Linked DNA regions of Drosophila melanogaster. The gene in region 1 interacts genetically with each later gene. Each region holds a gene or a part of one and is shown in the gene's direction. Other genes may lie near its edges.

Region 1 (5,456 bases):
CGAGCAGCTATGCCCACCAACTGCGAATGCGGCAGCAGCAGCAGCAGCAGACGCATCCAGCGATCTACTCGCAGCACCATCAACATCATGCCACCCATCTGCCGCACCATCCGCACCAGCACCATTCGAATCCGACGCAGTCGCGCTCGTCCCCCAAGGAGTTCTTTCCGATTGCCACGAGCCTCGAGGGCACACCCAAACTTCCACCAAAACCTAGTCTAAGCGCTAACTTCTATAACAATCCAGGTGAGTGCTACCAACTCGGCCCGTGATAACGTGTTTCCTAACCCAACCATCCTATCCGTTTGCAGATAAAGGTACGATGTTTCTTTACCCAAGTACAAACGAAGAATAATTTAAATTGCCTGGCGATGTGATAAGGACGAAAACTACGAGTATGATCCGTAAGATTCAAAGTTGCGAGCACTGCTTGAGTGCAGATATATATATGAGAGAACGGAACGTGAGATATATATATATATATATACATATATACGTAGGCGCAGTTTATGTATTCTAGTATGAAACGAGTTGGAACCGCTGATTTAGATTATTCGCCACTCATTTAACAAGGTAGAACAGACAGACAGACAAAATACGCTCTCATTTACACACAACAGGCACGCGCATATGGATAGGAATGCAGGACACACAAACCAAGCAAGCAACCAAGCAACCAACAAGAAATGCAAACAAGAAATTATGTTATTATATAATTACTATTATAAATATTTGTAAATATCGAGAACATTGTATTGATCGTAGAACGTAAAACAATAAAGTATAACCCTATTGTTAGACACTTGGCGACATCTTTCGATGACCAGAAATATAGAGTATTGTAGCCAAAGTCAAGGCAATCTGAGCAAATAGCATAGATTATCAAGGCTTTTCCAACGTTTAAAGATCGTGGGTATTCTTTATGTGCCCAGTGGCCTTGATGAAGTCGACGTGAACCGACATCCGACTGCAACACACCTGACATTCTCGCAGTGTCCAGCATAATCGCAGCCATTATTAAGATTGTGTATATGGCTAATTAGTTTCGGTGGGTTAGGAAAAACTAGAGCGATTGTTGTCTCACTGCATTAGGTGCAATTAAATTGGACACACACATTCGCTTATTGGAAACAACGCGGATTGACTTTCGCTTTTCTAAAACGTCATGAACGTCGAGCACAAATGCTTCCTGAAATTTTGGGCTGCTCGCCGCTGGGAACCGGTTGTTGTTTTTTTGAATTATTTTCGTATATTTGTATATTCGTATTTTCACGCTCGTGTCCAGCCCCTTATCGTCAGTTATTTGGGGGAGTTATGTGTGTGCAGCAGCCACCGTCCCCAAAAAGCGATGTGTCACCTGATGGCGCAGCGATTTGGATCCTCGGTGAAGTACCAGCGGTTACCAGGGTGAATAAACCGAAAGGAATTCCTGGGAAAGACAGACCATCTTTCATGTCCAATTGTGTCCTATGAACACATCTCAATACATCATAGCAGACACTCGGGGAATTTCCGTTGTTGAATTGTGGGGGGTGGTGGTGGGGTGCACCTTTATTTATAGAGCACCATGCACTCCATACCCTATAGACAAGGCCATCGGACGAGCACGATCATATCTATTCGCCATTAGATTTCGCTTTCCCTGCAACACTTGACCAAGATATCGGGAAGCCAGACGACGACCTACACCAACTGGCAATCTATGTATGTAAGTATGTATGTGCCAGTCTGCCATCTTCTCACACAATTAGCAATTGGCCAAAGAATGGAATTATTCAATGCATTTGCATTTAATGCATACTTGATTGCGGCTAATGAGAGAGAAACGCCACGGCAAATTGCTAGAGAAGATTAGACCTTTGGCGCATAATCAGCGCGCCGTAATTGCTCGTAAATAATTGTGTTACATGAGCATATCAATTAGTCAGCCAATTAACCAACAGCCAGCCAAAATTGGGATTCTGCGATTCTGGGATGAGTGGACCAGGGAAATCCCGGTGCTCTGAGTGCTCTGCATTGCGCAGGAACGAGGTGCTTTCCATGCTAACAGCCGCATAACCAGAATCCACGAGTCAAGCCAGGTGAGATCGGCACCTGCGTCGGCTCTCGAGCGGCAGTGCCTTTATGTAATAAGCGCCACTCGGTTTCGGATTCGGATTCGGATTCTGAGTTGTGGAAGTCGTCGAGCTTTTATAAAAGCGGCAACAACATCGCCTGTTCACTCAGTTCACACGGAATCACTGTCAAGTGCAATCTGCAGCAGTAGCAGCACCAGCACCAGGAACAGTACCATCTAGTACATCGGAAATCTAGAGCGCTAGCCAAGACATTTACAGTATAAACCGCAGACGAGAGCCAATAAAATGCTGGCCAGCGAGAACTTTCCCACACATCACTTCAAGGAATCTATATTTAAGCCGTACAGTACGACGAGTGGCGATGATTTGGCAAGCGTTAGCCCATTGACAGCGACGGCAGCGTTGGTGGCGTCCACGTCGTCACCGGCTGATTCCACCTCCACAGTTGCATTCGAGCAGGCCAGCAAAATGTTGGCCAACGCCGCCAACAATAATAATAATAATAATAACAACATCACGAGCACCAAGGATGATCTATCCAGCTTTGTGGCCAGCCATCCGGCGGCAGAGTTCGAGGGCTTCATCCGCGCTTGCGTCGACGAGATCATCAAGCTGGCCGTCTTCCAGGGCACCAATCGCTCCTCGAAGGTCGTCGAGTGGCACGAGCCAGCTGAGCTGCGACAGCTCTTTGACTTCCAGCTGCGGGAGCAGGGCGAATCGCAGGACAAGCTGCGCGAGCTGCTGCGGGAAACGATTCGATTCTCCGTGAAGACAGGACATCCGTACTTCATCAATCAGTTGTACTCGGGTGTGGATCCATACGCGCTGGTAGGTCAATGGCTCACCGATGCCCTCAATCCCAGCGTGTACACGTACGAGGTGGCTCCACTCTTTACGCTGATGGAGGAGCAGGTGTTGGCCGAGATGCGACGCATTGTGGGCTTCCCCAATGGCGGCCAGGGTGATGGCATCTTCTGTCCCGGCGGCTCGATAGCCAACGGTTATGCAATCAGCTGCGCCCGCTACAGACACTCGCCCGAGTCCAAGGTGAGTGCCCCATTGCAGCCAAGTGGTTTACCGCCAATCCACGCGGAAGTCGGCATCCACTGATTGGCGAGTGATCGTTAGTCATGCCCGTGATATACATATAAAAGTGAAACTAAAAGTTCTTAGCGATTTAATCAGATAAATAAACTATAAAGATGTGTGTTTCAAGATTAAAAGGCACATATTTAGGTTCATAAAAAAGGTTTAATGATTTCCTGTGCTAAAAATTATACTTTTTATGTTCATTTTCGATTTATATAGAAATTTAACTGATAAAGAGAACGGTATTTTAAAACAATGCATTTTAGAACTTAGTGCTTTTCAAGGATTTTTCTACATTTTTGTCTGTTGAAAAAATTCAATTCAAATTCCAATCTAAATAACGAATTAAAACTTTAAAAAACTCGAATATCTACGGAATTGAAATAGGAATTCTTTTCTAAATAGATCGATTTTATAAAAATAGTTATACTATATAGAAAAAGTATTACTAACTTTTATAAATATACGAAATTAACCTCTTCAATCCGCAGAAAAACGGACTCTTTAATGCCAAGCCGCTGATTATCTTCACCTCGGAGGACGCGCACTACTCCGTGGAGAAGCTGGCCATGTTCATGGGCTTCGGCAGCGATCATGTGCGCAAGATAGCCACCAACGAGGTGGGCAAGATGCGGCTGAGCGACCTGGAGAAACAGGTGAAGCTGTGCCTGGAGAACGGCTGGCAGCCGCTGATGGTATCGGCCACAGCGGGTACCACTGTGCTGGGCGCCTTCGATGATCTGGCTGGAATCTCGGAGGTGTGCAAGAAGTACAACATGTGGATGCACGTGGATGCGGCTTGGGGTGGCGGTGCGCTCATGTCCAAGAAGTATCGCCATCTGCTCAATGGCATCGAACGGTGAGTTTCATCATATCCTGGTTGCTCATTTCGAGGGGTAAACTGAAGATGTGTATATTGGCAGGGCTGATTCGGTCACTTGGAATCCACACAAGCTGCTGGCTGCCTCGCAACAGTGTTCCACCTTCCTGACGCGTCACCAGCAGGTGCTGGCCCAGTGCCATTCGACCAATGCGACATACTTGTTCCAGAAGGACAAGTTCTATGACACATCCTTCGACACCGGCGACAAGCACATCCAGTGCGGCCGACGAGCGGATGTCTTCAAGTTCTGGTTCATGTGGAAGGCGAAGGGCACCCAGGGTCTGGAGGCGCATGTCGAGAAGGTCTTCCGCATGGCCGAGTTCTTCACGGCCAAGGTGAGGGAGCGTCCTGGATTCGAGCTCGTCCTCGAGAGTCCCGAGTGCACCAACATTAGCTTCTGGTATGTGCCGCCCGGTCTGCGGGAAATGGAGCGCAATCGCGAGTTCTACGACCGTCTGCATAAGGTGGCGCCGAAGGTCAAGGAGGGCATGATCAAGAAGGGCTCCATGATGATCACGTACCAGCCGTTGCGCCAGCTGCCCAACTTCTTTCGCCTGGTGCTGCAGAACTCCTGCCTGGAGGAGTCGGACATGGTCTACTTTCTGGACGAGATCGAATCGCTCGCCCAAAACTTGTAAACGGTGACGCGGCGATGGCATGTTATGAGGTTAGGTGTTGACAACATTCTCTTTAGGCTTACGCCGATTGTATCTTCTAGTGTATGGTTAACTAATACTACTCACGTTTGTATATTTTTCTGGATGTTAAGTATTACCAAAAACAAAGAACAAAAATACATATTTATAGGTCATTTCATTTAGATTAAAGTGTGTCCTTGCCTTGGGAACTGGGAAACGTATCGGCAACAGGATGCTTTAAATGCAAGGTTATTTAAAAACATAGTGATTAAGTTTGCAAACCCTTAACTATTTCAAATACACTTGATTTATGTATATTTAACATTTTGGGCCTTACAATTTAAGAGGAACTAGTAACAGCCTCCAAGTCTCCTTGACTTCCTGAGTAACAACTTAGTACTTATGATTTAATCTCTAGTATTTGGCAGCTAACTCTTCTTTATCCAATCCCACTGACTGACATCGTTGCCTCCAGCCTTCTCGATTGCCTCCGCTACGCTCAAGCTCTGACCAGGCTGAATACCATAGCCGATGCGCAGGCCATGCGGATTCGAGGGCGTCTTGCAGTCCATGGTGCACTCCTTGCGCAGCACAGTGTCTACCTCCACGGACGAGAAGAAGGCCACCGACATGGGCAGATCCTGCAGTCCGATGCGGGACACACAAAAGGAGCGCGTCATTAGGTTTGTGATGTGCATGGCCAGCGCCGCTTTGGGCGATAGCTCTTCCTTGACCAAGTAGCGCAATTCATCATGGAAGCTCAAGCAG
Region 2 (5,182 bases), on another chromosome or scaffold:
TTTTACAGAACGGTACAGCATAGAACGTGGTGGTCAATGGTTTCAATTAAGCCTAATCAGTGGTTCCCCTTGTGGTTGAGCTGTTCGTCCGTTATTGTACTACTTGCCGAAGGTCCACCTCCTGCTCGAAGAACTCCTCCTCCTCGCTGTCATCGGACTCCGACTCCGGCTCCGGCTCCGAGTTGCGGGCGGCCTGTTGATAGCGGAACTGCGAGTTGGGCAGCGGCAGTAACTCCGCTGGTTTATCCTCCTCAGGTTCCTCCACTGATTCCTCCTCGGGCGCCGCATCCATGGACTCCTCGATGGTGCGCGAGTGGTCCTCGATCTCTTCGTCGTCCAGATGCGGTGCTCCATTGGCGAACGAGGCGAAGCGCAAAGGATCACGCAGTTTGCCCATCACCGCCCACTGCTTGCACTCCGGACTGTTGACGTACTTGCGCAGGTCCGCCAGCGATTTCGAGGTCTCCACGGCCGTCTGCTGTTCGTACTCCTCCTGGGTGAGCATGCGCCTCTTTAGCGGAAAACGGCGGCGATACATGAACTTGATCTGGTTCGTCCACGAAATGGGGAAGTAGTGGGCCACAAAGACCAGCACCATGATGAAGATCACGGCGCTGGTGTGCCAGCTGCTGAAGTAAGCCATAACGGCGCCAATGGCCTGCAGCACCCACATGACGATGGTTTGCGATCGAGGATTCTTGGGCGGACCAATGCGATAGCAGATCTGTAGAATAATCGAGGCAATTAGCTGGGGTTATCTAATCAAAAGGGAATATCAAGTGACTACGCACCAGGAACGAGATCAGTCCGGTGATCACCAGATAGCCCAGCACATGGTCGCGGTAGGTGATCAGAATCAAACGCAGATTGTCCGCCAGCTGTTTGATCACATAGAAGCCAATGGTCCAGCCGCCAATTAGGACGCCATACATCATGGTACGTCGCGGAAAGAGTTTGGCGGCCAAATAGATGACCACCAGCAGGGAGGCGCATATGCCGATGACAATGCCGACCAGATAGTAGAACACACTGTTCTTTGCTAGCCGCCGGGCGCTGAAGAGGATCAGTATGCCGACGGCGAACTGTGCGAGACGCCACAGATCCAGCGGAATGCTATTCAGAATGACGGTGTACGCCTGGCGGGAGGAAATCCCGATGCACTGCTGCTCGAAGGGCGAGAGCTGCAGCAGCTGGCGCTTCTGCGCGAACAGGGTGATGCTGAACAGCGATTGCTTGTCCTTGTAGTGCTGCAACACCTCCTCCGGCGTCTTCCCACCGTACTGGGAATAATCATCGCTCCCGATGGCCAGGACGAACTCCACAGTCTCGAAGAGACTTGACACCGTCAGCCGTTTACCCGGATAGCAGAACGTGCGCAGAGTCTGCAGTCCCAAGATGTTCTCCGACAAATTGATGTATGTGCCCGGCGTCAGGTAGGCGACGTCCGAGGAAGCCGTATTGCCAGGAATACCCGATGTGAAATATCCAGCCACGGTTAGCATCAGTAGTCCAGCCGAATGCATTATGAACGGTTGCAATGGCGTTAATCTTATCAATCAGTGCGCTTTCAGTCTGTTGCTCTCGCAGGACGTTCGCTTGTTAAATGCTGACTTGCTTATGCTTGATGTTTTGATGTTTACTTTACTTTAAGGAATCGAATGAAAAAGCAACGCCGCTTTGGTTTATGTCCTCACTCACGACGGGACGGGCAGTATATCGTAACGTAAGAAAAATGTATCGATAGGTGTGTGTGTGACTACACTGTTGTGATTTCAAATTTGTGACTAACCATTTAATTGTGGATTATTTATTTCCTTTGGAATACTTTGCAGAACACCCCATTTAAACATGTTTGCTAATATTATTACAAATATCTTATCTTATTCATAACAATAAATGAATATATAACGTTCTTGCCAAGTTCCCAACCTGCAATATTACTTCTAGTAAAGTTCCACACCGCCGAGCTAAGCTCTTGCTGTGGCATTTTTTAGCACATAATGCACGAAGATTCCGATTCAACCAAGGCGGTGAATTCAGTTGTTCGACTTTGATTTTCCAGACGTTAATTGGAGCCAATTTGCAAGCAAACACAGTTAAATGCTCAAACTAAACATATCCGAGCAGTGCGAAGTTAACCAGCTCTAAAAGCGGTGTCGCAAAGTAAACAAATCAAGTTGTCAATCGAATTAAAGTCGAAACCAAAACGTGTTCACAACTACAAGTGCAGCAAAGAGAGAGCTTCGCTTGAAAGTACACGGAATCGTAAGTGAGCTGTAGTTGTAACGGGTGCAGATGGGAAAAGGATAACTTGATGGCGATACTAATGCATCGTAGCTTAAGGATTCTCAGTTGGTTAATCCTCAATTCCTGCCCAAAGTCCAATTCAAAGTTAAAGTCAATGTTATTGTTATTCTCATTTGCTGACCGAACCGGTTTCCAATTGGATCCAAACTTCTCACACGTGCTTACGCACACACAAAACGCACCCTCTCACACTCGCTCTTCCTCTTTCTTCTCCGCCGCTAGTCATCGTGTAAACAAACCGTGAATGGCAATATCAAATGACAACAGGAACTTGAAACGCTTGATAAGCAGTGTCCATTCCCAATCAGAACCGTGTTGTGCCCCGCTCAACATGTTGCCAGACAGTTAAATACATGCATACATTCATCTATCGCGGCTTCCTATTGGATTCTTTGTATATTTTCTTGGGCCGGCAAACTGTGTGCGTGTGACGGTGTGTTTATAAACACATGTGTTTTTTGAACAAGATAACCTGTGGAATTATATTACATTACATTTAAAATCGAGGGTATGCACGCGCTCTGCGTAAACATATAGCATAGTCATAGCATATACTCATTAAGTAAAGTTCCCAGAGTCGCCGAATATTGTTATCAGATTTTCGACTCAATATTGTGTCTACTTGCCTTCGTAGAGATATGATCTTTTAATTAATTAACTTTGCTCGTTTATTTAAGACGGTTTTCGAGTGACAGGTACTAAAGAATACCCTATGGTTTCCAATCCTCCCCAGCAACTCGTCCAATATGGCCTCTACGGACTGTTACCTCGCACTGGAGGATGGCACAGTGTTGCCCGGGTACTCCTTTGGCTACGTTCCCTCGGAGAATGAATCCAAAGTGGGTTTTGGTGGCGAGGTGGTCTTCCAAACGGGCATGGTTGGCTACACGGAGGCGCTCACGGATCGATCGTACAGTGGTCAGATCCTGGTGCTTACCTATCCACTGATCGGTAACTATGGGGTACCAGCGCCGGATGAGGACGAGCACGGACTGCCGCTGCACTTCGAGTGGATGAAAGGCGTCGTCCAGGCCACCGCCTTGGTGGTGGGCGAGGTGGCTGAAGAGGCATTTCACTGGCGCAAATGGAAGACGCTGCCCGATTGGCTGAAGCAGCACAAGGTGCCCGGAATTCAAGACATTGATACTCGAGCCCTGACCAAAAAACTGAGGGAGCAGGGAAGCATGCTAGGCAAGATTGTCTACGAGAAACCGCCGGTCGAAGGGCTGCCCAAGTCCAGTTTCGTAGATCCGAACGTCAGGAATTTGGCCAAGGAGTGCAGCGTTAAGGAGCGACAAGTGTACGGTAATCCCAATGGCAAGGGACCACGGATCGCCATTCTGGACTGTGGACTGAAGCTCAACCAGTTGCGCTGCCTGCTGCAACGTGGCGCCTCGGTGACCTTGCTCCCCTGGAGCGCTCGTCTCGAGGATGAGCAGTTCGACGCCCTCTTTCTGTCTAACGGACCTGGTAATCCGGAGAGCTGCGACCAGATCGTCCAACAGGTGGGTCACAATTGAATCATTTGGATAGAATATAATGCTAATTTAACTAATCTTTTGTTTCTAGGTGAGAAAAGTGATTGAGGAGGGTCAAAAGCCCGTCTTTGGAATATGTCTGGGTCACCAGCTGTTAGCGAAGGCAATCGGCTGCTCTACTTACAAAATGAAGTACGGCAATCGAGGACACAATCTGCCCTGCCTGCACCGAGCAACTGGACGTTGCCTGATGACGTCGCAGAATCACGGATACGCGGTCGATTTGGAGCAGTTGCCCGACGGCTGGTCGGAGCTATTTGTGAATGCCAACGACGGCACCAACGAGGGCATTGTCCATGCCAGCAAGCCCTACTTTTCGGTTCAGTTCCATCCGGAGCATCATGCTGGACCGCAGGACACGGAGTTCCTGTTCGATGTCTTTATGGAGAGCATTCAACAGAAGGATTTGACCATTCCGCAGCTGATCGAGCAGCGACTGCGTCCGACTACGCCTGCCATAGATTCGGCTCCAGTGATGCCGCGCAAAGTCCTAATCCTGGGATCCGGTGGACTGTCCATTGGTCAGGCTGGCGAGTTTGACTACTCCGGATCGCAGGCCATCAAGGCCATGAGGGAATCAAACATTCAAACAGTGCTCATCAATCCGAACATAGCCACCGTTCAGACCTCTAAGGGAATGGCCGACAAGTGCTACTTCCTTCCCCTAACACCTCACTATGTTGAGCAGGTGATTAAGTCGGAGCGTCCGAACGGAGTACTGCTCACCTTTGGCGGCCAGACCGCTCTCAATTGTGGCGTGCAACTGGAGCGAGCCGGAGTTTTCTCCAAATACAATGTCCGCATTTTGGGCACACCCATCCAGTCGATCATCGAGACGGAGGATCGCAAGCTCTTTGCCGAGCGGGTCAACGAGATTGGCGAGCAGGTGGCGCCATCTGAGGCTGTGTACTCCGTTGCCCAGGCACTGGATGCGGCCAGTCGCTTGGGTTATCCGGTGATGGCCCGTGCTGCCTTCTCCCTGGGCGGACTGGGTTCCGGGTTCGCCAACAACGAGGAGGAGCTGCAGAGCCTGGCCCAACAGGCACTGGCCCACTCGAGCCAACTAATTGTGGACAAATCCCTGAAGGGTTGGAAGGAGGTGGAGTACGAGGTGGTGCGCGATGCCTACAACAACTGCATTACCGTATGCAACATGGAGAACTTCGATCCCCTGGGCATCCACACGGGCGAGAGTATTGTGGTGGCCCCATCGCAGACCCTCTCGGATCGCGAGTACCAAATGCTCCGCAGCACCGCCCTGAAGGTTATCCGTCACTTTGGTGTCGTTGGCGAGTGCAACATTCAGTACGCCTTGTGTCCCCATTCGGAGCAGTACT

Evidence for each region.
Region 2: of b (region 1) and r, changing one suppresses a phenotype caused by changing the other (phenotypic suppression), as found in Drosophila melanogaster (2 studies listed by BioGRID).

The regions. Positions count from the first base shown.
Region 1 is NT_033779.5:13,819,024-13,824,479, forward strand, and holds b (black), read left to right. Parts: upstream 1-2,224; 5' UTR 2,225-2,363; coding exon 2,364-3,125; intron 3,126-3,658; coding exon 3,659-4,026; intron 4,027-4,090; coding exon 4,091-4,688; 3' UTR 4,689-4,956; downstream 4,957-5,456. Other genes in the region: Sos (Son of sevenless), read left to right, coding at 1-246, 312-355; PolG1 (DNA polymerase gamma subunit 1), read right to left, coding at 5,117-5,456.
Region 2 is NC_004354.4:16,653,345-16,658,526, forward strand, and holds the start of r (rudimentary), read left to right. Parts: upstream 1-2,014; 5' UTR 2,015-2,265; intron 2,266-2,746; exon of another isoform or gene 2,747-2,815; intron 2,816-3,040; 5' UTR 3,041-3,053; coding exon 3,054-3,812; intron 3,813-3,876; coding exon 3,877-5,182. Other genes in the region: Nemp (nuclear envelope integral membrane protein), read right to left, coding at 92-724, 792-1,523. UniProt on the Drosophila melanogaster protein: Multifunctional protein that encodes the first 3 enzymatic activities of the de novo pyrimidine pathway: carbamoylphosphate synthetase (CPSase; EC 6.3.5.5), aspartate transcarbamylase (ATCase; EC 2.1.3.2) and dihydroorotase (DHOase; EC 3.5.2.3).